Diceros bicornis minor: one gene and its partner. The protein of the gene in region 2 purifies or fractionates together with the protein of the main gene of each other region. This does not show direct contact. Links are inferred from orthologs where the notes say so. Each region holds a gene or a part of one and is shown on either strand. Other genes may lie near its edges. The genes, in order: RPTOR and RHEB.

Region 1 (12,822 bases), on a different chromosome or scaffold from region 2:
TACTCCCTGTGTGCCCGCTGCTCTACCAGGCTCTGTGCTCTCTGCGGGGCAGAATGAGAAGACACAGTCACTGTTTTCATGGAGTTTCTCTCTAGCTGGGAAAAGGGACATTAGGACAAACAGATGTTTGATTGGAACAATGATGTACACAATGGGTAAAAAGTATAGGTCTCATGAGAATGGGTAAAAGGTAGGTGACTATAGTTTATTATCCAAACCAGGACATTTTCGAGACTGTAAGAAGGCACTATTAATAATGTCAGTGCAGAAGGTGAAAACCAGGACTGCCCCGGGACGCACGGACACCTGGGGAGACCTAACCTAGCCCACCATGAGCCTTCTCTGACCAGCTTGCTCCAGCTTTCGACCCAGCCTCGCCCACAGCTAAGTGCAAGACTGCACAGCCTGGACGAGTCACCACAACAGCACGTTTCTCCAAGACGCGATGAAGCTCGCTTTTCAGGAACCATGTCACCCACCTCCACGCGCGTCTGGCAGGCTGGAAACAAGCTCCCTGTGTACGATCAGCACAGTGGTTAAGAACACAGGCCTCAAAGCTGTGGGTCCCACTGCCCTGGCATTGGGAGCGCCTGGGATTCCAGGCTACCATCCGGCTGTCATCCCCTGACATTCTACTAGTGAGGGTGCGGCCTGGGTTTCTGGCCTTTGAAGCCCCCCTAGTGATTCTGATGTACAGCAAAATTTGGGAACCTCGGCTTTGAATTCAACCCGTTGGTTTGAATCCCGGTTCCACCACTTACTAACTGTATAACCTGTGGCAAGATACTCAATCTGTGCCTCAGCTTCCTTACCTGTAAAATGGGGACAGTAGGCTTGTTGTGAGTATTGAGTTACTAGGTCTGAAGTGCTTAGAACAGGGTCCGGTTCACAGGAAGTGTGCTAGAAGTGTCAGCAATTGTTATTACAATAATTATTTTAATTAGCACTCAGTCGAACACTTAAGAGCCTTCCAAAGGCCCTGCATGCAGGTTTAAGGTCCCTCAGGATGTTTTCGAAATGAATGAGAGGGTGTTCGCCTTACATCTTTGTAACCAAAGGTCTAGCCTGTTCAATTTCATTAAACCAAGCGAAGGTCACAGCTTCATGGAGCAGCCCCAAAAGTTGTGCCCACAAAAAAAAAAAATTAACAATGAAAATCTTTCTCTATGGGTCACTCTTGCAGTTTCTCTCTGCACTAGGGGCACACATAGCCTCTCACGGTGTTGATGTGGAGAATGCTGGGAAGTGAGGACACGGGAAAATGCTCCTGCTGTTAATGAAAAGATAAGGCACAAATGAAATGTTTTGTTAAATAGCATTGTTTATATAAGATTGAATGATTCTTTTTCGCAAAAACTATACAGATAAGCATGTCTATAATACATATTTATAATATATACTGGAAGGCTATTCAAAGAAATAGTAATAGCAGTTATGTCTGGGAAATGGAATTAAAAGTGTTTTTTTGTTCTTATCTTCAAAATAATGTTTCAGAATAACGTTATTTTTTAATGTAAAAGGCAAATAGATTTTTAAATATATAAATGCCAGAAAGAAAAGGCAGAAAGGAAATACACAAAATGGGAGCAGTGGTTACTGTGGGACTGTCGGGACTGTGGTTTGAGGCGTCATTTTAATTTTTTTTCTTCATTCTTTTTGACATTTTCCAATTTCCTCCGGTAAGTATTAATTACTTTTTATTTGTTAAATTTAAGAAAAATTGTCAAAGTGCTAGGTTACACTGTTGAAAGTGTAAAATAATATTTCTGGGACTATAAAGCAGGGAAGGTGTCAGTCCTTGGCCCCCGTCCCGTGTCACCCACCCGCTGGAGCAGCTGGTCCATGTGTTTGGCTGTTTCTTGTCATATTCGCCTCAGCATTTCTACACGGCGTGTTTACAATCTCTGTCTTCACTTTTTAAAAATGAGTTTACGGCCTTATCCACTGACATCTCCCGTGAAAAACCAGACATCCCCTCTTACGTCTCCCTCCCACCCCACATGTAAGGCTTTTATTTAGAAAAACAATTAGAATTATTCAAAAAAAGGAAATCCACTTTTGAGGCTCAGGCACACATGCTGTGTTTTCCGTGAAGACTTTTTAATCGACCCAGATGGAATTTATCTTTTACAGCAGTTTGTTAATAATAATAGCCTTTCCTGAGTGTTTGCATGTGCCTGGCATTAGCTCATTGAATACTTACAACATCTCTATGAATTAGAAACTATTAATTTCCCTATTTTGCACATGCAATTAGCACCTCTCCCAGTGTCCCAGGACACGAAAGTGCCAGAGCAGGGATTTGAACCTAGGTCGGCGTGACTCCCAGGGGCACGAGGAGGTGCTTGTGGGCTCCCGGGTCCTCGCCTCAGGCTGTGCTGGTTGGTCTCTCCCCCAGCCCTGGCCAGCAGAGAGATCTTGAGAAAGCTCTTTAATCGTTGTGTATCTCAATTTCCCTACGAGTAAAATGGACCCAAAACAGGAGCCTTAAATGGGTTATTAGGAGGATTAAATGAGTTAATTCTCATGAAAAGGGCTTGGCTCACTGCAAACATTCACTCTCTGGATTATACTATTTTAGTTACAGGCACAGTCTCTAATCCGCCTTATTAAGGCAGAGGCAATGGCTGTGCTGACCTGGGCTCCCCCAGGACCTCGTGTTCTCTGAGAACCTGAGAATCATTGATGAGATGTGAATATTATATAAAATCACAAATGAGGAGTTTAAAACGAGACAGCTGGTTATATTATTTGTATTTTCATAAAGGTAGAATCTTATTGTAGGCAATGCTATTAAAATAAAAGATTATAAAATTCAGTTTGCGTATTTTTTATTGGATAACAAATTTTCTCAATATAGTCTCTATCATAAAAGCTTTCCTTTTCTTTTCTTTTTAAACGCTTTGTCTGCACTGGGCGTAGACCACTTCTCAGTGAATTCTACCTCCAGGGTCCTGGGGGAGGAAGGAGGGTCCTCACTCTAATGGAACTTGTGACCTGGGAGAGACACTGGCCTGCGTTCCCTCTCCACAAAGAATTCCCGAGGGCCGTGGACATCGGTGTCTGATCCAGTGAAGGTGTGGAGCTGGGTGCACCAGGCCATCCAGACTGACCGCTCGGAGGGCCTGTGCCGGAAGCCAGGCTCACTGGGAACTGGGCCTGGAGCACTTTTGCTTCAGCTCCGTCACTCCCCACCTTGCTCCAAATTCTAGGCTCCCCAGCAGGCTCTTCACTGCCCTACACAGAACAGCCCTCTGAGCGGGGAGGAGAGGGCTAGGGGTGCAGGCACAGTCCTGTGAAGACTCCACTCTGTTCTCTTACCTTGTGCGTTTCCTGATGGGCTCTGCCTTGCGGCTGGCTCTTTAAGGCTGAGGCTATGCAAAATTCTCAATTCTGAAAGAACTGTGGATAGTGGGTGAAGTTAATTTAATGAGCGGTGCTTTTTACTATAGTCCCATGCTCCTCAGGGGTCACCCCCTTTTTAAAATGGAATAACATTGTTGTTTGTTTCTGCTTATCAGAACCATACATGCTCAGTGTAAAAAAAAATTATAAATAAAATAGAAAGGTATACCGTAGGGGTGACAATCACGTACACAAATATCACTATATTTTTAGATGGATGCAATGGTAGGAGAGGGAGGCAGACTCGTTGAGGCCTGTTATTTCCCTTTCTTTCCTCTCCTCACTTCACTGTCAACAAAACATCTGACCTGCAGAGGGGGGTGGCTTGGAATTTGCTAAAAACAGAAGTAATGATGCTCAGACAAAAGCAAAGTACTTTATATCTATTTTGGTTTCTTTTAAGCTAAGCACAGATTTCTCTGGAAAGAACGGAGCTGGCTGGTCTCCCTGTGTGGAAAACAATAGCTCAGCGAAGCACCTGGTTTTCTCCAGTTGCTTGACCTCCAGTCTCGCTCCTGATTCTTGATGACAAAACACATCGAATGCCCTTGATTGATTTAGCAGAGAAACTGCAAGATTGGAGGAGGACGGAACGCAGCCGGTCCTGCCTGCAAATGGAATACCTTGGCTGTGATGGTCTTGTGTTTTGAGAGAAGATAAGGTCGGTTGCGGGTGGGCCAACAGCTGAGCTTGGAAGCTGTGAAAATCCAGCCACCATAGTTCTTCCTGGGCAACATGCTCGGTACCCAAGGCATTTATTCAGACCCTCTCCCTGCCCCAATTTCCCCCGCCATGTTTACTCCAATTTCTGTTGTATTTGTCCAACACTCTTAGGTTTTTATATTCATTCTCTGCTTACTTTGCTTTATCTTTGCCAAATAGCCAAAGTTTTAGGGCTGGAAGGGGCCATATGGTCTCCTTCACATTTCAGGAACAGGTCCCCGCCTCTCTGTACCGGCAGGTCAAAAATTGTTCTGCTGTTTCAGGTCAGAGCTGGCCCTTAAAGCCCTTCCTCTCTTCTAGTTCTACATCTGCAGCCTGGTGTTCACCACCAGGAGGGCATCAACACCCTCCCCCATTTTCATAATTTGAAAATCAGACCAGGTTTTGTGCATTTTTTGAAATTCATAAAACTTGTTTTCTAGATTAAATTATTTTATTTAGAGGTTTTGTGGAAAGCAGGAGCTGTCCTTGCTTGTGAAGAACTGGAGACATTGGAAATCGGAACTGCAGGCCCAAGTGGCCAGCAGATCACACAGCGTGGTAATGAGATCACCCAGGTGAGAAATATTAACCCTTGATTTTCCAGCCTATCATTAGTCACAGATGCTCACTGCCCTCCAGAAACCTGGAGCTACACTTCCAAATGCTTATCTGGGGGGCCAGCCCAGTGGCGCAAGCGGTTAAGTGCGCTGTGTGCTCCGCTGCGGCGGCCCGGGGTTCCCCAGTTTGGATCCTGGTGCGCACCAAATGCTTATCTGGGACTTGAACAGAGTCATCCAGGACACACTAGAATGAGGTTTCTTTTAAATGTCATGATGCTGTGAAATGATTCAAGCCCAATCTTGAAACTTCTAGTTGGGAGCTGGGCTGTCACCAGCCCCTTTCTGGTTTTTACATGAATCACAGAACTTTGAACCTGAAGTGTCCTTAGAGATTCACCTTCTTCAAGTTCCTCCTGTTACAGATGTGGAGACTGAAGATAGAGAAGGGCAGAGGCGTTGCCCATGTCTGCAGGATTTGGTGGTGGGCTGGGGACTGGAATATGTGTATACTGACCCTCAGTTCAGGACATGGACCCCAAATGGCCTCTTGGTTCTGGAGTCACATTGTAAAACAGTAGAGGGTGTGTTTTGTTCTGTAGTTTGGGGGAGAGGGTGAGTCTTGTTCTGATTTATTAGATGGAAGATTGCATAATTGCTTTATAGTATTCATTTATTCAGTACAAATATTAATTGAGGGCTCACCATGTGGCCGGAATGGAATCATTGGAGGAGAATATTGTCTAATATCCCTAGAGAGACTATTGTCCAATATTCCCAAATCTGGCTGATGTTAAGCTGTCATCAAGGTTACCTGACTAAAAAATATAGATCCTGAATGCCTGTCTTCCCACTCCCTGTGGTTCAGTAGGTCTGGGCTGGGACCTGGGCATCTTTAGTTTTAGTTTCCCAGGTGATTCTGATGACCTGCCAGGTTCGGGTTCCATGGGCTCCTTTACTCCTTTCACTTGGAATATCAGACAAGGTGAGTGGATTTCCCAAGGTGACACACACTTTACAGGTGAGGAAACTGAGTCTCACACAGATTAAGTGGGTTTTCCCAGGTCACAGAGCTAGTTAGGAACGAGCGGGTTTAAGGCTGTTGCTTTTCTGTAGCTGTGGCTTCCTGCGAGAGTGCCTGGAGCAAAGTTCTCTGTAGCCCAGGGGATCATGGTCTTCACTGCTGTGTGCTGCAGGGGTGACAAGGCAGCAACAGGAGTTATGTTATTGACTTCAGGTGAGAATAGGGTCTTCTCAGGACCCTGCAGTCCCATAGCCTCTGCTGGTCACTGTGGGGATATTTTGCCAATACAGAAGGCAGGGAAAAGCAAGGTTTTAGCCTCCATCTGTGTTTTGATGAATTTGCTCTGAGTTTTAGTGGGAGAATTGGGTCCACTGCAATGTAATAACTGAATGTTTGGGATGATAATTATTTAACCCAAGAACTTTTATTAAACACTTGCTATGTGCTAGGCGGGAAAGATCTGGGATTGCACTATTCACTTGGATGTTGAAAGGAACACAAATGCTATCAGGATTTTGATATGGACTGCCCCTTGTGTCAAAGCCCTGGTAAACCACACTGAGAAACAGTATCTTCTAGAGCCCAACCTGAGGTTTTAGATTAATAAAGCGCATAGGGTTGCTAAGTTTCAATGGCTACAGAACCATCACTGCTAGCATTGTATTTGGCGCTCGCTATATACTAGGCACCTTCACGGGTTAATTTTGTCCTTCAAGGTGGGTATTATTACTCTAGATTTATAGCTGAGGAAATTGAGACTGAGCTAATTAAGGGATTGACCAAGGTCACAGAGATGGAAAGGATACAGCTGAGATTCAGAACCAGGTGTGCCTGACACCAAAGCCCAAATGCAGAGAGGAAGGCGAGCCTCTTTGCCCCTGCTTGGCTTTATCTAAAGGTCACACGTGCATTTCACTGGACACTAAGTTTATTGAAGGCAGGCACTGCATGCTGCATTCATTCGGTTTCATAATCCCTCTTGCACTGGACACAGTTCTCCACACATTGTAAATTAGCAGTGTTTACCAAATACAGAAAAAACGCAGGAGGCATGCCCCCACGCATAGAAATCCGCAGGTTTTAGTTGTTTACACATGAAGCTATCTCAAAACAAAAATCAACTGCTGAGAAAATAAGGTGGATTAAACAAAAAATTGTAATCATTGAAATTAAATTTTTCACTTGGTGTTCCCTGAAAAAATCAAAATCTGATTGATACTGTAGAGGATACTACGTGCAAAACAACCCACAACTCTATCTTTTTTTGTAATATTATCAATGATTCTTTCTGAAGCTTTTCCTGCCTTTTCAAAGTCTGGAAGAAACAAGAGGCTTGATTCCTTTAATTTCAGAAGCATGTAGGTCCATTTGTAATAATAAAAAGATTTTATCAAAATTAATTAAATGAATACAGTTTCATTTGTAGGATTGACTTTGATATTATGGATCTATTGAACGAATGGCGACAAACTCTGGAAAGCTAGATTGTGGCAGCCATGGTAACGGGGGACGGGGACTTCTCTCGCCGCATCCTGGGAAGCGCGGCCAGAACGCTCTGAGGAAGGTTGGCCTGTTAGCCACGCCGTAGATCGCGATGCATGCCGGGTCTTGGCAATATGGCGTCCTCCTTGATGTGCTGATGAGAGGAGTTTCACTGTAGCTTCAAACCAGAGGGCAAAACTCCCCAAACCCAGTAAGCCTACATTACTCGTTTTCTCCGCGGCTCCGGGTCGCTCGTTTCTCAGGACTCGTTCTCGGGCAGGAGGGAGCCACGGGGCCGAAGGCCAGGACCGGCGAGACCGCGCGGACCTGGGGCTGAGGAGCCGGCTGCGGGCGAGCACGATGGGCCGGTCCTGGCTCTGGTTGCAGCAGCTCCGGCGATTGCGGGACCCACAGGGCTGAGAGTGGCTGGAGGAGACCCGAGGCGCTCTGAACTTCTTCCCCTCGGCCGGAGACCTCAGCCCAGTCAGCGAACCGGCACCAAGAGCGGGCGGCCTGCCTGTCCTCGAATCGGCTGAGGCGTTGGAGGCCGAGAGCAGGGTCATCGTGAGGCCTGGAGTCTCACACGCCTTTGACAGCTCCGCTCGCAGCCCCTCCGGGGACGTACAGCCTCAGAAGCAGCCAGTGGCTTGGGATCTGGGGGCGTGTGTGTACGTGCGGAGCTCCTTGGGCTGCCCCATTTCCCTCCAGCTTTTCCCAGCCCCTCCGACTTCCCGCGCAGAGTTAAAGAGAAGGATCTCACACTTTTTGCCTGAATAAGGGTCTCCGCATACTCGCATTTCTTTTTCTACTCCCTCTTTTTCTGTTTCTTATTTCACCGATTCTGGTATACGCTAGTTTTTAAGGCTGGAGGTTCTCGAGCGCTTGCTGCCAAGGACTCCACCACCCCCTCCCCCCCTGATGGAGTCCGAGATGCTGCAGTCGCCTCTTCTGGGACTCGGGGAGGAAGATGAGGCCGACCTTACAGACTGGAACCTGCCTTTGGCTTTTATGAAAAAGAGGCACTGTGAGAAAATTGAAGGCTCCAAATCCTTAGCTCAGAGCTGGAGGATGAAGGATCGGGTAAGTGGATTCCAACTGCGCCCCTTGGAACCTGGTAGTCTTTTCACGGAAGAAAGTTCGGAGTTAGAAGAGTGTCCTTGGGAAAGCGGCGATATTTTTCCCAGCCACATGTTGCAAGTTAACTGAAAAGCACAAAAACCATTTCAGACTCCAGTTTTGGGTTGTAAATGGAAAAGCGTGTTTTGGTTAGTAGTTATTCACTGGATAGTGTTAATTCCGTTCAAACTTAGTTCTAATTCAGATAATAAAGGTTAAGTAAGTTCGAAAGTACCGCACTGCAAGTATTTACACGCTCTTTGATACACTTAGTGCTGTTAACACGTGGAGGAAAGACAACTTAAGATATAATACTTGTGTCCACGTGGTTAGTCTACTTTTGTGGTTAGTTTACTTTTTTTGTCCATGCTAGGTGAAGTGCAGAAGTCTAATATAGCATGCTAGGAAACGAGATTACTGACAAATGTTTAGCTAGTAACAAATTAATGCAAAGTTATTTTAAAGTTACAGTGAACTTTATCTAGCCTTCTAAACAATTTGTCTTGAATCCAGACTTTCCTCCTTTTATGTTGTGTTATGTTGCTATAACTTGGAGACAGAATTTCTCCAATCTCTCACTCCCGTAGTGGAGTGAGAGTATAATGGATTGGAATTTGAATCCAGCTTTTAGGAGGTCCCCATGGTGTTGGAGTGTGGACAGTGACTCACAAACAGCTAGTAGGAAGGAAAACAGCCAATTTTGTTGAATCTGCGCTTAATCAACCACCATCTATTTCCTGTTCTCCAAAAGAGCGGGGCTATCTCGTCTATGCACACTTATAATTTGTCTTTTTATGAATTATTTTCTCCTTCAAAACTGTCTTTATTTATTTGAACGTTTTAGTGGTATCAGAGGGGTAATTGGTGTTACAGTACAATGTGATTGCTCTGGGCTTATGAATATGTTTATGTAAGATTATTGTTTTTATTATATGATGTTGGACATATATAAGATTACTCTATGGTAATTCTAGTTAGTCACTAGTAACCAGTGCTTCAGTTAGTGATTTGGCTTACTTTTAAAAGGTTAGGAAAATTTGTTTCCTCCAAAAGTAGTTTAAGGAGTAAAAGAGGTGATCATTGGAAGAGAATGTATAAAGTCTGCCTTATGGACATCTTGAGTACAAATTATATAGTTCAAAACTTTTGTGGTTGCTATGCATATATGAAAAGAAATTTATTTTAAAGTAACCATCTAATTTTTTTTTCATTCTATTAGGAGGGCATTTTTTTTTTCTTTTGAAATGTGATTCCCTCTGCTACCCTAAACCCATGCTCAAACTGTCCAAAACTGATTAATGGATATATTTTTGACCTTTTAATTAAAGCATTAATTTGTTAATGATCAACATTCCCTGATAAGCTCTTCATAGGTTAAGAGAAAGAAAAGTTCTATGAGTCTGAGTAATTACTGAGATTACTACTTAGAAAAGAGCCAAGGGAGAAAGTTTGCTGTATATGACCTTTGCAAGTTGTTGAATAAAGAAGAGAATCAGCAGCTAATGTTTTTAGTTAAGTTTGTGAGAGCATGGCATCTTCACAGTCTTTGGAGACTCTTTCCCCTGGTTAGACCCTGGGGGTACCTTTTAGGTACACCCAACTAGGATGAAGGTTGCAAATTCCAGTGATGCTAAGAGTTGGAAGGTAGCCTAAATGAATGAAACAGGCAGGATATAAGAAGAATAATGGCATAGGTTCAAAACCGACATTTGATTCGTGTGTGATTTTCTGGAGGGTGTGAACAGCAGGGCTCTGACGAGCACATGCCGAAGCAGCTAAAGGGGCAGCTGGGCCTCGGCCAGATTTCTCTCCCTTTCTCTTGCTCTCTTTTTCTTTGAGAAGCCAGAAAACTTTTTTTTTTTTTTTTTAATGTGAAGTCTTTCAATTTTAAAATATTGGCACTAATTCAGATATTACAAACACAAAGTAGTCCAACACTGTAGGCCAAACAAACCCAGTTTGTGGGGTTGGTTCTGGCCAGTGGGTTACCCGTGTGTGACTTCTGCTGTAATATGGCAGCTCCAGGCAGCCGCTCTGACTCGAGGAATCCTGAGCACACAGGCTTTCAGGCCAGATTGTCTCCCTGTGCTGGAGGTGGCCTCCAGCAGTCTGATGGAGCAGCATCTTTGTAAAGCAACACGTGTGGGCCCAGTTGTCCTGTACTAGGACCTACACAGACCACTTTTCTTGGTGGGCTGTTGACTGCTCTTTTTTTTTTAAGAATTTTTTTTTTTTTAATTAATTTATTTTCCCCCGAAGCCCCGGTAGATAGTTGTATGTGATAGTTGCACATCCTTCTAGTTGCTGTATGTGGGATGCGGCCTCAGCATGGCTGGAGAAGCGGTGCGTCGGTGCGCGCCCAGGATCCGAACCCGGGCCGCCAGCAGCGGAGCGCGCGCACTTAACCGCTAAGCCACGGCTGTTGACTGCTCTAACTGAAGTCTGCTCCTTCCTGTGATTGATGTACAGATCCATGTATGTTTATTTTGTGTATATATTAGTGGTTACCTTCTGGTGTCCTATTTGGTGGAGTTGTTAAGGATTCCTGAAATTGACATCTTTACTGAAGTTGACTGATGACGCCAAAATGTTTTCTACCACTCAACATTTGGCATCCTTATAGAGCTACAGCACATGCCCACTCTCAGTGGGGATTCCCATAGTCTTTGTTTTGAACCAGTCTGGTTTTCAAATGCCACTATTTTTGCGTTTTAATTACTGTTACTGTTAATTTAATACTGTTACTATAAAATTAGTTTGTTGTGTGGTTAATTCCTCTGTGTATGGTGAATGATACGTATATGCATCAATAGCATTTTTGTCTTGTAATTTTCAAATAACTAAATTATATGAATTACAGTTCAAAATGAGTCATTCATAGACCTATGGCTGAAACAGATGTGTATATATCTCCCCCATTTGTGTTTTACTGTGATACTTTATAGTTGTCACAGAGTTCATTTTCCCATTGGAAAGTGGGCATGTGGGGATAATTGGATCTTTTGCCTTGCACATATGGAATGGAATCACAGAAGCTTGAGAGCTATTTCTCTGAAAGAAAACCATCGACAGACACACTATACCTACATGTGTGTAGAAGATGTAGCTATAAAACGATGAAGCCGTTTCCCAAACCAGTCTCTAGGCTTAGTTGCCTTGCTTTGTAAGCTGCACTTCAAATAAACCACGGAGGAAGCCAAGTAGATACATTAAACTAATATATGGACCAAAAAAGGGTAAATAGTAATACTTTATAATCCAACGTTACTCCCTCTATAGATTCCTTGCCTTGCACCCTCTCGCAGTCTACTCCAGTTAGGCTCCCTTCCTGGGCTCTGAAACCACCCCCAACACGGCCATAATTTGTTGCTAAATATAAAGGTCACTTCTCTGTCATTATCTTATTCGATCTCCCAGCAGCATTCCACAGTGGACCACTCCCTCCTTCATGAAACTCTTTCCTCACTTGATTCTGTGTCTTCCCAGAACTTCAGTTCTTCCTCTGAGGTCTCTAATCGCTCTTCCTCAGACTCCTTTGCTGTTTTTTTTTTTTTTTTTTTTTTTTGAGGAAGGTCAGCCCTGAGCTAACATCCATGCTAATCCTCCTCTTTTTGCTGAGGAAGACTGGCCCTGAGCTAACGTCTATTGCCAATCCTCCTCCTTTTTTTCCCCAAAGCCCCAGTAGATAGTTGTATGTCGTAGTTGCACATCCTTCTAGTTGCTGTATGTGGGACATGGCCTCAGCATGGCTGGACAAGCAGGGCCTCGGTGCACACCCGGGATCCGAACTTAACCGCTAAGCCGCGGGGTTGGCCCTCCTTTGCTGTTTGATGGCTGAGTGTGGATTGCTCCGGGACTTGATGTTGGACCCGTTTCTCTTTTCTATGTACGCGCCTTGCTAGCTGATCTCATCTAGGCTCGTGATTTTAAATGCCATCTACATGCCAGGGACTCTCAAATCCCCATTCTTGATTCTGCCCTGCCCCTGGAACTCCTGTCTCAGATACCTAATTGCCTGCGTTTTCTCCATCACAGCACACCGCCACCACCACCCAGTCAGTTGTTCAAGCTGTAAATCTAGAATTTATCCTTAATTCTTTCCTCTTCCTCTCCTCATTGCCTTGTCACCAGTCACCAGTAGAACCTGTCAACTTTGCCTCCAAAGCGTATCTTATGTTGGACCACCTCATTTTGTCTCCACTGCTGCAAGCCCAGTCTGGGCAACTACCATCTTTTGTCTGGAAGACTGCAGTTGCTTCCTGACTGGTCTCCCTATGTCCACTCTTGCCCCACAATTGATTCTTCACGTAGTGGCCAGAGGGATCTTTAAAAAGTGTAAATCAGATTTCGTTACTTCCTACCGGCCCTCTCCACTGGCTTCCTGAGTACTTGGAGTAGAATGCAAATTCCTCACCCTGGCTCACGGAGCTTCATGATCTGGCCCTGCCTGCCTTTTCTGCTTCTTGAGTGGAAAGGCCTGGAATGCTCTTTCCGCTAATCTTTGTACACCTGGCTCCTTCTTGTCCTTCGCAC
Region 2 (11,818 bases):
GGGCCTACTGGTTAAGTGCGAGCGCTCAGCTTCAGAGGCCCGGGGTTCACAGGTTCGGATCCCGGGCACACCCTGACACACCGCTTGTCAAGCCATGCTGTGGCGGTGTCCCATATAAAGTAGAGGAAGATGGGCACAGATGTTAGCCCAGGGCCAGTCTACCTCAGGAAAAAGAGGAGGACTGGCATTGATGTTAGCTCAGGACTGATCTTCCTCACACACACACAAAAATTAACTCTGAATAGATCATAGACCCAAATGTAAGAGCTAAAAGTATAAAACGTTTAGAAGAAAACATGGTAGTAAATCTACATGTCCTTGGATTAGGCCATGGTTTCTTAGATATGACACCAAAAGCACAAGTGACAAAAGAGAAAATAGATAAAACGGACTTTGTCAAATTTTAAAACTTTTTGCTTCAAAGGATACCATCAAGAAATGAAAAGACAACCCACAGAATGGAAGAAATTACTTGCAAATCATATATGATACCACTTCACACCCATAAGGATGGCTAAAATCAAAAAGTACTTCAATAACAAGCATTGGTGAGGATGTGGAGAAACTGAAGCCAATTTCAACTGTTGGTAGGAATGCAAAATGGTGCAGCTACTTTTGGAAAACAGTTTGAGAGTGCCTCAAAATGTTAAACACAAAGTTACCATATGACCCAGCAATTCCACTCCTAGGAATATACCCAAGAGAAACGAAAACATATGTCTACACAAAAATTGGTACAGGAATGTTCATAACAGCATTATGCATAATAGTCAAAATGCAGAAACAACCCACATGTCCATCAATTGACAAATGTATAAATAAAATATAGTATATGAATAACAAAATACTATTTGGCAACAAAAAGGAATGAACTACTGACACATGCTACAACATGGATGAATCTTGAAAATATTTATGTTAAATGAAAGATGCCAGTCACATAAGATCATGTAAGTATGATTCCATTGATATGAAATGCCCCGAATAGGTAAATTCAGAGAAACAGAAAGCAGATTAGTGGATGCCAGGGACTGAGGTGAAGGAAGGCTAGGGAGTGCCTGCTAGTGGGTACAAGAGTTTCTTTTCAGGGTGCTGAAGGTAAGTACGGATAGATATAACCCACAAGAACATCAAAATAACATAAATGCAAGCTCTGATTATTCTCTTGTACAGAACAATGAATGACACCAAAAAAAGTGAATTTCAAGCTTTAACACAAGGTGGCCACTATAGCACTACTCCCACCCACAAGTACACAACCTCAAAATGTTACTAAGCACCTGAACATACAGTTTCACACACTGATAGATTTTATACACGGCAAACAATGTTTTATCTTTAAATTTTCAATTAAATGTCTCAGAAAAGGACAGTATAATTTAAAAATAGACAGTAAATCAGAATATAATTGGATTGTATTCTACTGGGAACAAATTTAATGACATCTTTACCTATGAAGTATCCAAATCAAAGGATGCATCTTTCTTACTACCTAAAACATTTCGACGAGGTAATAATTTGAGTTACTTTTGCCGAACTGCCTTTTACCAAATCAGAGTTGTTTCATTTTCTCCCTTACGATGGTTCACATTCCTGTGGTCTCGTCCCTCCTGTTAACCGCAGAGACTTATAACTTTGTGATTATGGTCTAATGGTAAACTAGATTATCAAAGCTCTCTGTAGAGGATTCCAGTAAGAGATGTACCAGATTTTATTTGAAGATAGTTATGCAACACTAAAATTCTGACTTGATTAAGTTGAGTTGCCTCCTGTCATGGGACTACTCATTTGTATTAGAAACAATGAATGTAAGGGAGCTGGTACATTTGGCCACCACTAAAACAATACACAGCACTCCCTGAAAGCCAGCCTGCCTTACAGGTGACGTGTCCTTAAAAGCTTAACATTGTAAATAACAGGAAAAGTACTTCCGGAAACAAGCTTTTAAATTACCTGAGAATTATGTTTTCCTCACTGGTAGTTTTATCAATGTTTAAAAAAAACCACAAAATTTGAAAGCCAAGTAGTAAAATAATCATAGTATTTAGTAGTTTTACCTGAAAGCAAATTTTTAAAATAAAATTTGTGACGTGACAAAATCAAAATAAGTATTCGCCTAGTCAAACTGGCAGAAAATATTTAATCAAGAGAACATTCTAAGAAAGGTGTGGTTTCTAGCTGAGCCTAACATGCCACAACAGCTTAGCATCACAAATTAACATAACCTAGAAACACACTCAAATATCTCTTGTACAGCACCGTTTGCAAGCAAACACATCAGTAAACTCCTACAAGTCTGAATACTGAATAATTCTCTGAAGAGTGGCTAGTACATGCAATCAGGAAATCACTCCCTTTTTTGATGCTGGCAAAACAAAATGAAACAAAAGACTCCAAGTTGTCCCGGTTCATAACAAAGGTAAATAGCTTTAAAATCAAATGCAAATATTGAGAGTAATTTAACCTCTCCAAAATACCTTTTAGTTTAATCATCCCTACACTTGAACATAAATATGGAGAAAATGGAGGCGATTAGTAACGACCTACAGAGGGCATAGGAAACAGGGACTAGAACTTACTCTGTATCCCACTGGAGGCTAATTTAGCACAGTATTTTAACAGCAGTTTAAAATGAACGTTTGTGAAGAGAAGTTTAAGGGGTGACCTGTCACATCTGGGTCTTTAGGAGGAGGATGATTAGAAGAAGATAAAACAGAATGGATTTCAACTGGACATAAGGAACTTCTTTATAAAACAGTGATAAAACAGACTTGCTTACTGAAGGCTAGAATCACCATCTCAAGAATTTCAAGGGGTAAATAAGTCAGGACCTTTGGGACATGCTCTTGAGTTGAAATCGGGTAGCCCAGGTACAGGTCACCTGTAACTGTTCTATTCAGAGACTGCGATCTTCAATTAGTGGGCACTCTGTATGTGATAGAGCTCACTCAAGAGCAGGATATGTCCAAGTCCCACTCTTCAAAACGCAGAGGAGGAAATTAAGAACAGAGCAGCAAGGGCTTGGTGATTTAGGCTGCCAATAAAGGCTGGATGCCGGGTTCCATACCGGCATTTGGGGAGTGGGCTGTTAGTGACTTTAAAAGCCTCAATTTGATGCATCGTAACTTTATGGCTGCAGCTGTTCAGGCTGTCACCAGTCCTTCCCCACGTGTACCTACGATCTGACACTGCATCACACGCGACTTACCGCTACGACTCCTGGAACCCCCATCTCTAAACAAGCGTCTCTCAGCCTTTGATTTGCCCTCTATTCTTACGATTTCCACCCCCAACCCCCCCCGGAACCGTGACGGAGATGAGAAAAGGATGAGTAAGCATGCTGTAGCTGATCTTGGTCAAAGAACACAGACCCTGGCACCGGCGGTGGAAAATGGGGGTGAGGAAGCAGAAGAGAAAGCGCAGTCGGGGGAGTTCATCCAACGCGCGGCAGGCAGCTACGAGCTTTCCTACGGCAACTATCCTTGCCGCCTCCTGCGATCACCAGACTCCAGCCCCTCGCTTTCCCCTCCTTCCCCCACCAGGGTCAAGCGGACCTTTTCCTTAGACAGTTACTCCTTAAAAAACAACACGGACAGAGAAGCGTAATTTCCCCAGGCTTCCAGGTGTCAGACAATAACGCCTCACCCGGAAGCACGGTTAAGGTCACCGGTTCCGTTTTCTCACTCGTTTTCTGGCGCCCTGTCCACTCCCGAGCCCACCAGGGACCACCCCAGTCCAGCAAGCAGGCGACTGCCGGGAACCGTTTCAAATACATGTCAACCTTTCGGCAAAAAAAAAAAAGAACAACTTTTGAATTACTTCAACAGCCTGGTTACAAGTACCTGACCCTATTTTTCCCGAAGAAAAATAGGACACCGAGACACCAGACACTTCTTTTCCTCTGCCTTTCTATTTCGGCCGCTGCCGGCACCTAGGGGCTTCCGAAGAGGGCTCTTCGGGGTCTCTGCGGTGGGAAGCTTGCCCTCAGAGGCCAAACGTCCTTTAGGTCCCTGGTTTTCTCTAACACGCTGAACTCCACCACAGAGAACCTCACAAGGTGCTGTTCCCTTTGTTAAAACCCCCGGACCTGACTGAATTCGGGGCGGAAAAGCCGCTAGCGACGACCCGCCAGCCAGCCGCGAAGAGGCGGAGACAGGTGCGGGTCCCTCGGAGGGGCCCGCGGCGGCGCCGGCAGAGCAGCAGACGCTCCGCCGCCGCCGGCCCGCACGAACCGGGACACCCGCGCGCCCGCGGCCTCCCCACACGGCCTCCCCGCCCCCGGGCCGCCCTCCGCCACCGCCTCCGCTCAAAATGGAGGTAGTGGCGGCGGCGGCGGGCGGCTGGTTACGAAACGCGCGGCCGCCACATGGCCGCGCCGGCCCCAAACTTGGCCCGGCCCGAGGCGTCCCGGCGCCCAGGAGAGGCGCGGCCCGGCGCGAGGAGGCCGCGCGGCGCCCGCCACTCACCCACAGACCGGTAGCCCAGGATCGCGATCTTCCGGGACTTGGACTGCGGCATCTTGGCGGCCTCCTCAGCCCCGGGCCAACCACATCAATCGCGGCGACGGCGCCGGCTCCTGTGCTGCGATCGGCGGCGGCCGCGCCGGGGTAGAGCGGCATCCAGGGGCGGGGCGGGCGGGCGCGGCTGCCTGGGCTCCTCGCTCGCGCGCTCAACCGCCCGGAACCGCCGCGCGGCCCCGCCCCCAAACACGCCCACGTGACCGCCCGCCGCCGCCGCCGCCGGCCCCCTGCGACCCGCGTCAGCACCGCCCTCCCCGCCGCGGCGGCCGCCCCCGCCCCCGCCCCCGGAAGGCACGCGGGGAGGCGGCGACGGCGTTTTACTGTAAAGGGAAAAAGAGGGGAGGCCGAGATGCCCCCAGAAAAGTCACGACTAAAACTCGCTGCGTCATGTCCCTCCCACCGTCTTCCGCCGCTTTTTAATTACGCCAATTCTCCCCGAGCGCTGATTGGACAGCTCCCGCCCGCCCGCGCGATGACGCGACGGAAACTCCGTCTCCCATTGGTGGCGGTGAGGAGGCGGAGCCAGAGGCGGGGCTGCTGGCCCGGGAACTAAAAATAAAATCCGGCTGTGACCGCGCCGTTAGCCGCCAGGGAGGTTTGAAGGCCCGGAGCGTCTCAGTGGTGGAGGCGGGCGGGAGGGGCGGAGAGAAGCTAGCTCCCCAGTGATTGGTTAGACCAGGGGGAGGGGCGGGACAAGCTTTGGGAGCCGTGGTGATTGGCGGAACTCTGAGCGGTTGGTAGACTCGCGCCCGCTGAGCCCTTAAAAGGCGCGAGGCGCGTGGCCGTTACGGGCTGGGCTGTGGGTTGGTTGGTTTTTCCTCCGGGTTGGTTTTTTTCGGAAGAAACGCTGCTATATTGGCGTTAGTGAGTCTGGGTTTGAGGATGTAGCTGGTGACTAAGCGTCATCCATGAGTAAAAGACCGTGGAAAGAATGGAATATGCATTAATTCAAAATGTTAATGCATTTCATTAAAAAATGTGCGCCTTCCCAGTTCTGGTCTCAACTCTGCGTCCTGCGGACCCAGCACACCTCACAGGAAATAAATAGCGCAAGTCAATACATCTTTAATGTCAACACTTGCGTGGCTAATTCGGTAGACAGGCACCAGCTGTTGTTGGCTGAGAACGCTCCGAACTGTTCTTGGTGGGGGGGGATTTAAGTACGCTGGGCTCGCCCTCCTGTGTGGGCTGACCTCTCCAGTAAGGGGACGCTGTTGTATTTCCCACAAAAGACGCGCTGACAACCCTTTTTCCCACTGGTGCTGCTGAAGAGGCATTGGGGTGTTACAGCAAGGAACGCCAGCCCGGGAGGCCTCGGTTGTGGAAAATGAAGGTGCAAGCCCAGGCCTGAGCAATGAGGATGTGATGGGGAGATTTCAGCCAGGGAGACTTTTCCATCGTGGTAGATATTCTTACCCTTAGTGGTTGCTAAAGAAGCAGATAGCCCGCTACTGCAATGAGCGTCCTCTGTTGTCCCCGGGCTGTTTGACCACCTGCGTGGTCACGGCCCTTTGCCTTTCCCAGTGAGCACAGAGAAGGAACCCCTACGAAGCTGAGCTGCAGGATTGGGTTCCTCTGTATGAAGATCTAGAGGTGACTGTCCCATAAATGTGCTTATTTCTCATATAGGGTGTTATACAAAACCAAACAACGCAAGGGCCGGCCTGGTAGTGGTTAAGTTCGGCACACTCCACTTTGGCGGCCTGGGATTGGCAGGTTCAGATCCCAGGCGTGAACCTACACACTGCTCATCAAGCCATGCTGTGGCGGCGTCCCATATACAAAATAGAGGAAGATTGGCACAGATGTTAGCTCAGGGTCAATCTTCCTCAAGCAAAAAGAGGAAGATTGGCAACAGGTGTTAGCTCAGGGCCAGTCTTCCTCACCAAAAAAAAACCCAAACATGCAGATTTGGGAAACATGCCAAGGTCATTTCATTGCGTGGTCTTGTGGATGGCAGAGCAGTTTCCTCAACCGGGCCTTGATAGGCCTGAACTCAGGAGTCTAATGAGGCCATCCTGGGGAAGGCAAGTCCCCAACTTACACTGGTTGGGATGAAAAAAGATCCTCTTCTCTCTGAAGCCAGGGATCAGTCTGGCCTGAACCCTGAGATATGGAGTTTCATGGAGGGCTCCCAGAAGAGGGAAATGGAGTAAGCCAGCTGGAGTCCATGGAGGTAGGCCATTCATGAGGGAGGAATGTGCTTTGTTGAGTTAGAGCACTGGCGCTAGGGCAAAATCCTTCCACCATCCTGTTGAAGTACGCCTTGGAGAGGGGGACTGCGCATTCACATCCTGCGGGTCTGCAGATTGAAGCCCCAGGCGACCAGCTGGATGGCTCAGCAAGGAGCTCTGAGGCCAGGTCTGGGCCTATGCAGTAGTTGTAAATTGTTCTTCACTGTTAGGGGTTGAATGTGTCCCCCAAAAAGATATGTTGATGTCCTAACTTTCTCAGAATGTGATCTTATTTGGAAATAAGACTGTTGCAGATGTAATTAGTTAAGATGAGGTCATACTGGAGTAGGGTGGGCCCCTCAATGACTGGTGTACTTGTAAGAAGAGAAGAAGAGACACAGACACACATACACAGAAGGAAGACAACCATGTGAAGATAGAGGCAGAGATTGGAGTGATGCTGCCACAAACCAGGGAATCCCTGGGGCTCCCACAAGCTGGAGGAGGCAAGGAAGGATCCTCCCCTAGAGACTTCAGAGGGAGCACGGCCCTGCCGACACCTTGATTTTGGATTTCTGACCTCCAGAACTGTGAGACAATAGATTTATGTTGTTTTAAGCCACCCAGTTTGTGGTACTTTGTTATAGCGATCCTAGAAAACTAATCCATCAACTATCCTCAAATCGTCAATAAAATTGCATTAAAAGTTCAAATCTAGTTTCTGCTGGGCTGTGGATGAAATTTGCCTTCTCCCCAATTCTCCAAGCCAGAGTGCACCTAGTAGGAGCTTTCACCAGCAGAGGCTGCATGCCCAGCAGAGAAAGTCTCCTGAGGGTCCTTGGTAGTCGCCTGTCAAGATGGCTGGAGCAGAACACCTGCTCCTAAGAGCTTGTGCAACAGCACCTGGGGGATGCTCAGGGAGAACCAGGAGGCTATTTCCTTTCAATAAAATAGGCGATGGCTTCTGCCAGTAAGGCTTGCATTTACATGTGCTCTTCAAATGTGCCTTAGATGTGGAATTTAGTCACAGTATTCATAAACCACTGAAAGTTATAATTACCCTTTGACAGATATATTCACTATTGGTTCCTCCTCCTATGTGAAGAGTTCTCAGTGTTGGATTTTACCCAGCATGTGGAGATCCAGGGAGTTTCTTCCATTGGTGTGCAGGAAAAAAAATAAACTTCTGTTTTGTTAACATTTTTATTTTAAAAATAAAATAATTGAGCTTTGCGAATATGTAATATATGGATTGACCATGGCACCCTCGTCTCTTGTTTGACAGAGGGTGGCACGTCGTGACCGGTACAAGAGGTATCCTGGTGGGACTTCCTCAACAGGGAGGGGTTGGCAGTGTTGCCCTCAATGTTTAGTGTTCGGAATAGTATAATGTGTTGCTTTTCATGTGTCTGGTTCCGAGGAATTACAGAATATATTACCTAAGTTCTGCAAAACTAAATTAAATCTCACAAAATGGTTGTGGGTCTTAAAAGATTTCCGTCAGGGCCGGCCCCGTGGCTTGGCGGTTAAGTGCGCACGCTCTGCTGCTGGCGGCCCGGGTTCGGATCCCGGGCGCGCGCTGACGCACTGCTTGTAGGGCCATGCTGAGGCCGCGTCCCACATACAGCAACTGGAAGGATGTGCAACTGTGATATACAACTATCTGCTGGGGCTTTGGGGGACAAATAAATAAATAAATAAAATTATTAAAAAAAAAAAAAAAAAGCTTTCCGTCAAAGAAACCATGAATTAACAATTAGAATAAAAATGCAGTATACGCATACACTAAGAAAAATGGCAGGGCTACCGCCTCTTCCTTGTATGAGCTCTTTGCCAACTACATTAAAGGTAAACGTGGTAATCTAATCATATTTTGCAAGAAAATGACCAAAAATTTTTACAAAAAAGTAAAAATCCTTTTAAAATATGGATTCACATCCACTTTCATTAATGATGACTAAGTGTAATTACACCTGGATATTTGCTAATGACAGAGGAAGTATCCCTCACAAATAGCAAGATCTTTAAAAACTAAGCATCCAAAACACTAAGGCAGACTTTCAAATTTTTTGAAACTCTTTTTTGGAAAATTTCAAGCACATATAAAAGTAGATTAGTACAGTGAACCCTGGGCCCATCACCTGCTCCAGTGTTTGCTGAGTCTCGGACAATCCTGTTTCATCTATGTGCTGCCCGCTTCCCCAGTCACCCATGGGTTATTGTGAAGCAAATCCTAGACATCATACCATTTCATTCATAAGTATTTCAGTATTTTCTCTGAAAGATGACTCTTTTAAAAAATATGCCATTTTTACACCGAAAACAAACAAAACCCATTAAGGAGCCCTTAATACCACCAAATATCCAGACTATTCAAATGTCTCTTCATGCCTCATAATTTTCTTTAACAATTTGTTTCTTTAAGTCAGAATCCAAATAAAGTCCATATAATGCAGTTGGTTACTATTATCTCTTAAGTCTTTTTTTAAAATAAACTTTATTTTTTAGAACAGTTTTAGATGTATAGAAAAATTGTAAAGATAGTATAGAGAGTTCCCATGTGCCCTGCATCCGATTTTCCCCATTATTAACATCTACATTAGTGTGGTACATTTGTTAGAATGAATTAACCAATGCTGATACATTATTATTAACTAAAGTTCCTATATTATGCGGATTTCCTCAGTTTTCCCCTAATGTCCTTTTTCTGTTTCAGGATCCCACTTTACATTTAATTGTCATGTCTCCTTGGGCTCCTCTTGGATGTGACAGTTTCTCAGACGTTTCTTGTCTTTCATGACCTTGACAGTTTTGAGGAGTGCTGGTCAGGTGTTTTGCAGATTGTTCTTCAATAGGATTTGTCTGATGTTCTTCTCATGATTAGGCTGGGGTTACAGGTTTTGGGGAGGAAGACCACAGAGGTAGAGTGCCATTCTCATCACATCATATCAAAGGTGCCTAGTATCAACATGACTCATCACTGCTGATGTTGACCTCCATCACCTGGCTGAGGTTGTGTTTGTCAGGTTTCTCCACTGGAAAGTTACTCTTTTTCTCTCCCTTTCTACACCGTCCTCTTTGGAAGGAAGTCACCGTGTACAGCCTTCACAAACTGGGAGTTAGGCTGTATCCTAGTTTCCTTCAGCCTTTCCTTTAGAATTTCCTTTAGCATTTCTTGTAGTCTGGCAACAAATTCATCATTTATTTATCTGAAAGTTGCCTTTATTTCATTTCTTTAACTTTGCATTTTGAAATAATGATAGATTAACAGGTAGTTTCAAAAGTAGTACAGAAAGGTCCTGTGTACCATTCTCCAGATGATAACATTTTACATAAATATACTATAATATCAAAACCAAGATATTGAAGTTGGTGCAATCCACAGAACTCATTCACATTTCACAAGTTTTACATGCACTCATTTGTGTGTGTGTGTAGTTCTATTCAATTTTACTACATGTGTAGATTTATGTAACCAGAAGCACAATCAAAATACGTAGCTGTCCCATCACCAGAAAGATCTTCCTCATGCTGTCCTTTTATTTCTCTTTATTTTTTTTGCTGGATGTAGAATTTTAGGTAGACGGTGTTGGGTGTGTGTGTGTTTTAATGCATTAAAGATGTTCCATTTTCTTTTGGCCTCTATTTTTTTCTGTTGAGAAATCAGCTATCATCTTATTTCCTTTATGTAATATGTTTTCTCCACAACTGTCTGCTTTTAAGATTTTCTCTTTGTTTTTGATGTTCAGAGTTTGACTATGATGTGTTCACGTATAGTTTTCTTTGCTTTTATGCACTTTAAGGTTTACTGAGCTTCTTAGATTTGTGAGTTACTGTTTTTGATCCAATTTGGAAAACTTCCCAACCAATATTTCTTCAAGTATTTTTTCTGCCCCATGCTCACTCTCCTCTCATTCTGGAACTCCAATTTCACACATAGTAGACAGTTTGATAGCTTTCTACCAGTCACCGAGCCTCTGCTGATTCTTTTCTCTATTTTTTAAAAATTTGGATAACATATTTTTCAGTTCTAGAATTTCCATTTGGTTCTCTTTTTTAATTTCTATCTCTATCTTGAAATTCTCCCATCTCTATCCAACATACTCATATTTTCTGTAGGTTTTTAAATGTACTTATTGTAGTTATTTTTAAATCTTTGCTAATTGTAACATCTGGATCATTCATAGGTCTGCTTTTATTGAATGACTTTTCTCTTGATTATCGGTCATATTTTTTGTTTCTTTTCACATCTAGTAATTTTTATTTTATACTGGACATTATGGATTATATGTTGTAAAAATTCTGGATTCTGCATCTTTCCAAAACTGTTGAGCTTTGTTTTGAGTTAGTATTTGTATGTGCTGAAAGGTATGGATCAAAGTTTTTATTTTTTTTCACACACGAATATCCACCATTTGTTGAAAAGACTCTCCTTTCTCCACTGAATTGCCTTTGCATCTTTGTCAAAATTCAGTTGCTCATATATGTATGGGTCTGTTTCTGAACACTCTTCTGTTCCATTGATGTATTTGTCTGTTTTTTTTTTTTTATTGATGTTTTAATGGTTTCTAACATTGTGAAATTTTGGGTTGTACATTTTTGTTTGTCCATCACCACATATATGACTCCCTTCACCCCTTGTGCCCACCCCCCACCCCCACTGCCCTGGTAACCACAGTCCAGTTTTCTCTGTCCATGTGTTGGTTTATATTCCACATATGAGTGAGATCATACAGTGTTTGTCTTTCTCTTTCTGGCTTATTTCACTTAACATAATATGCTCCAGGCCCATCCATGTTGTTGCAAATGGGACGATTTTGTCTTTTTTTATGGCTGAGTAGTATTCCATTGTATATATATACCACATTTTCTTAATCCAATCGTCAGTCGAGGGACACTTAGGTTGCTTCCACTTCTTGGCTATGGTGAATAATGCTGCAATGAACATAGGGGTGCATAAGCCTCTTTGGATTGTTGATTTCAGGTGCGTTGGATAGATTCCCAGTAGTGGGATGGCTGGATCATAGGGCATCTCTATTTTTAATTCTTTGAGGAATCTCCATACCGTTTTCCATAGAGGCTGCACCAATTTGCATTCCCACCAGCTGTGTATGAGGGTTCCTG

Evidence for each region.
Region 1: the proteins of RHEB (region 2) and RPTOR purify together in Homo sapiens (affinity purification with western blotting, with the first as the bait; 3 studies listed by BioGRID). This does not show direct contact. The link is inferred for Diceros bicornis minor from reciprocal best matches to the Homo sapiens genes RHEB and RPTOR.

The regions. Positions count from the first base shown.
Region 1 is NC_080757.1:60,040,003-60,052,824, forward strand, and holds the start of RPTOR (regulatory-associated protein of mTOR), read left to right. Parts: upstream 1-8,080; 5' UTR 8,081-8,091; coding exon 8,092-8,253; intron 8,254-12,822. UniProt on the Homo sapiens protein: Component of the mechanistic target of rapamycin complex 1 (mTORC1), an evolutionarily conserved central nutrient sensor that stimulates anabolic reactions and macromolecule biosynthesis to promote cellular biomass generation and growth.
Region 2 is NC_080742.1:97,130,729-97,142,546, forward strand, and holds the start of RHEB (GTP-binding protein Rheb), read right to left. Parts: upstream 4,743-11,818; 5' UTR 4,519-4,742; coding exon 4,467-4,518; intron 1-4,466. UniProt on the Homo sapiens protein: Small GTPase that acts as an allosteric activator of the canonical mTORC1 complex, an evolutionarily conserved central nutrient sensor that stimulates anabolic reactions and macromolecule biosynthesis to promote cellular biomass generation and growth.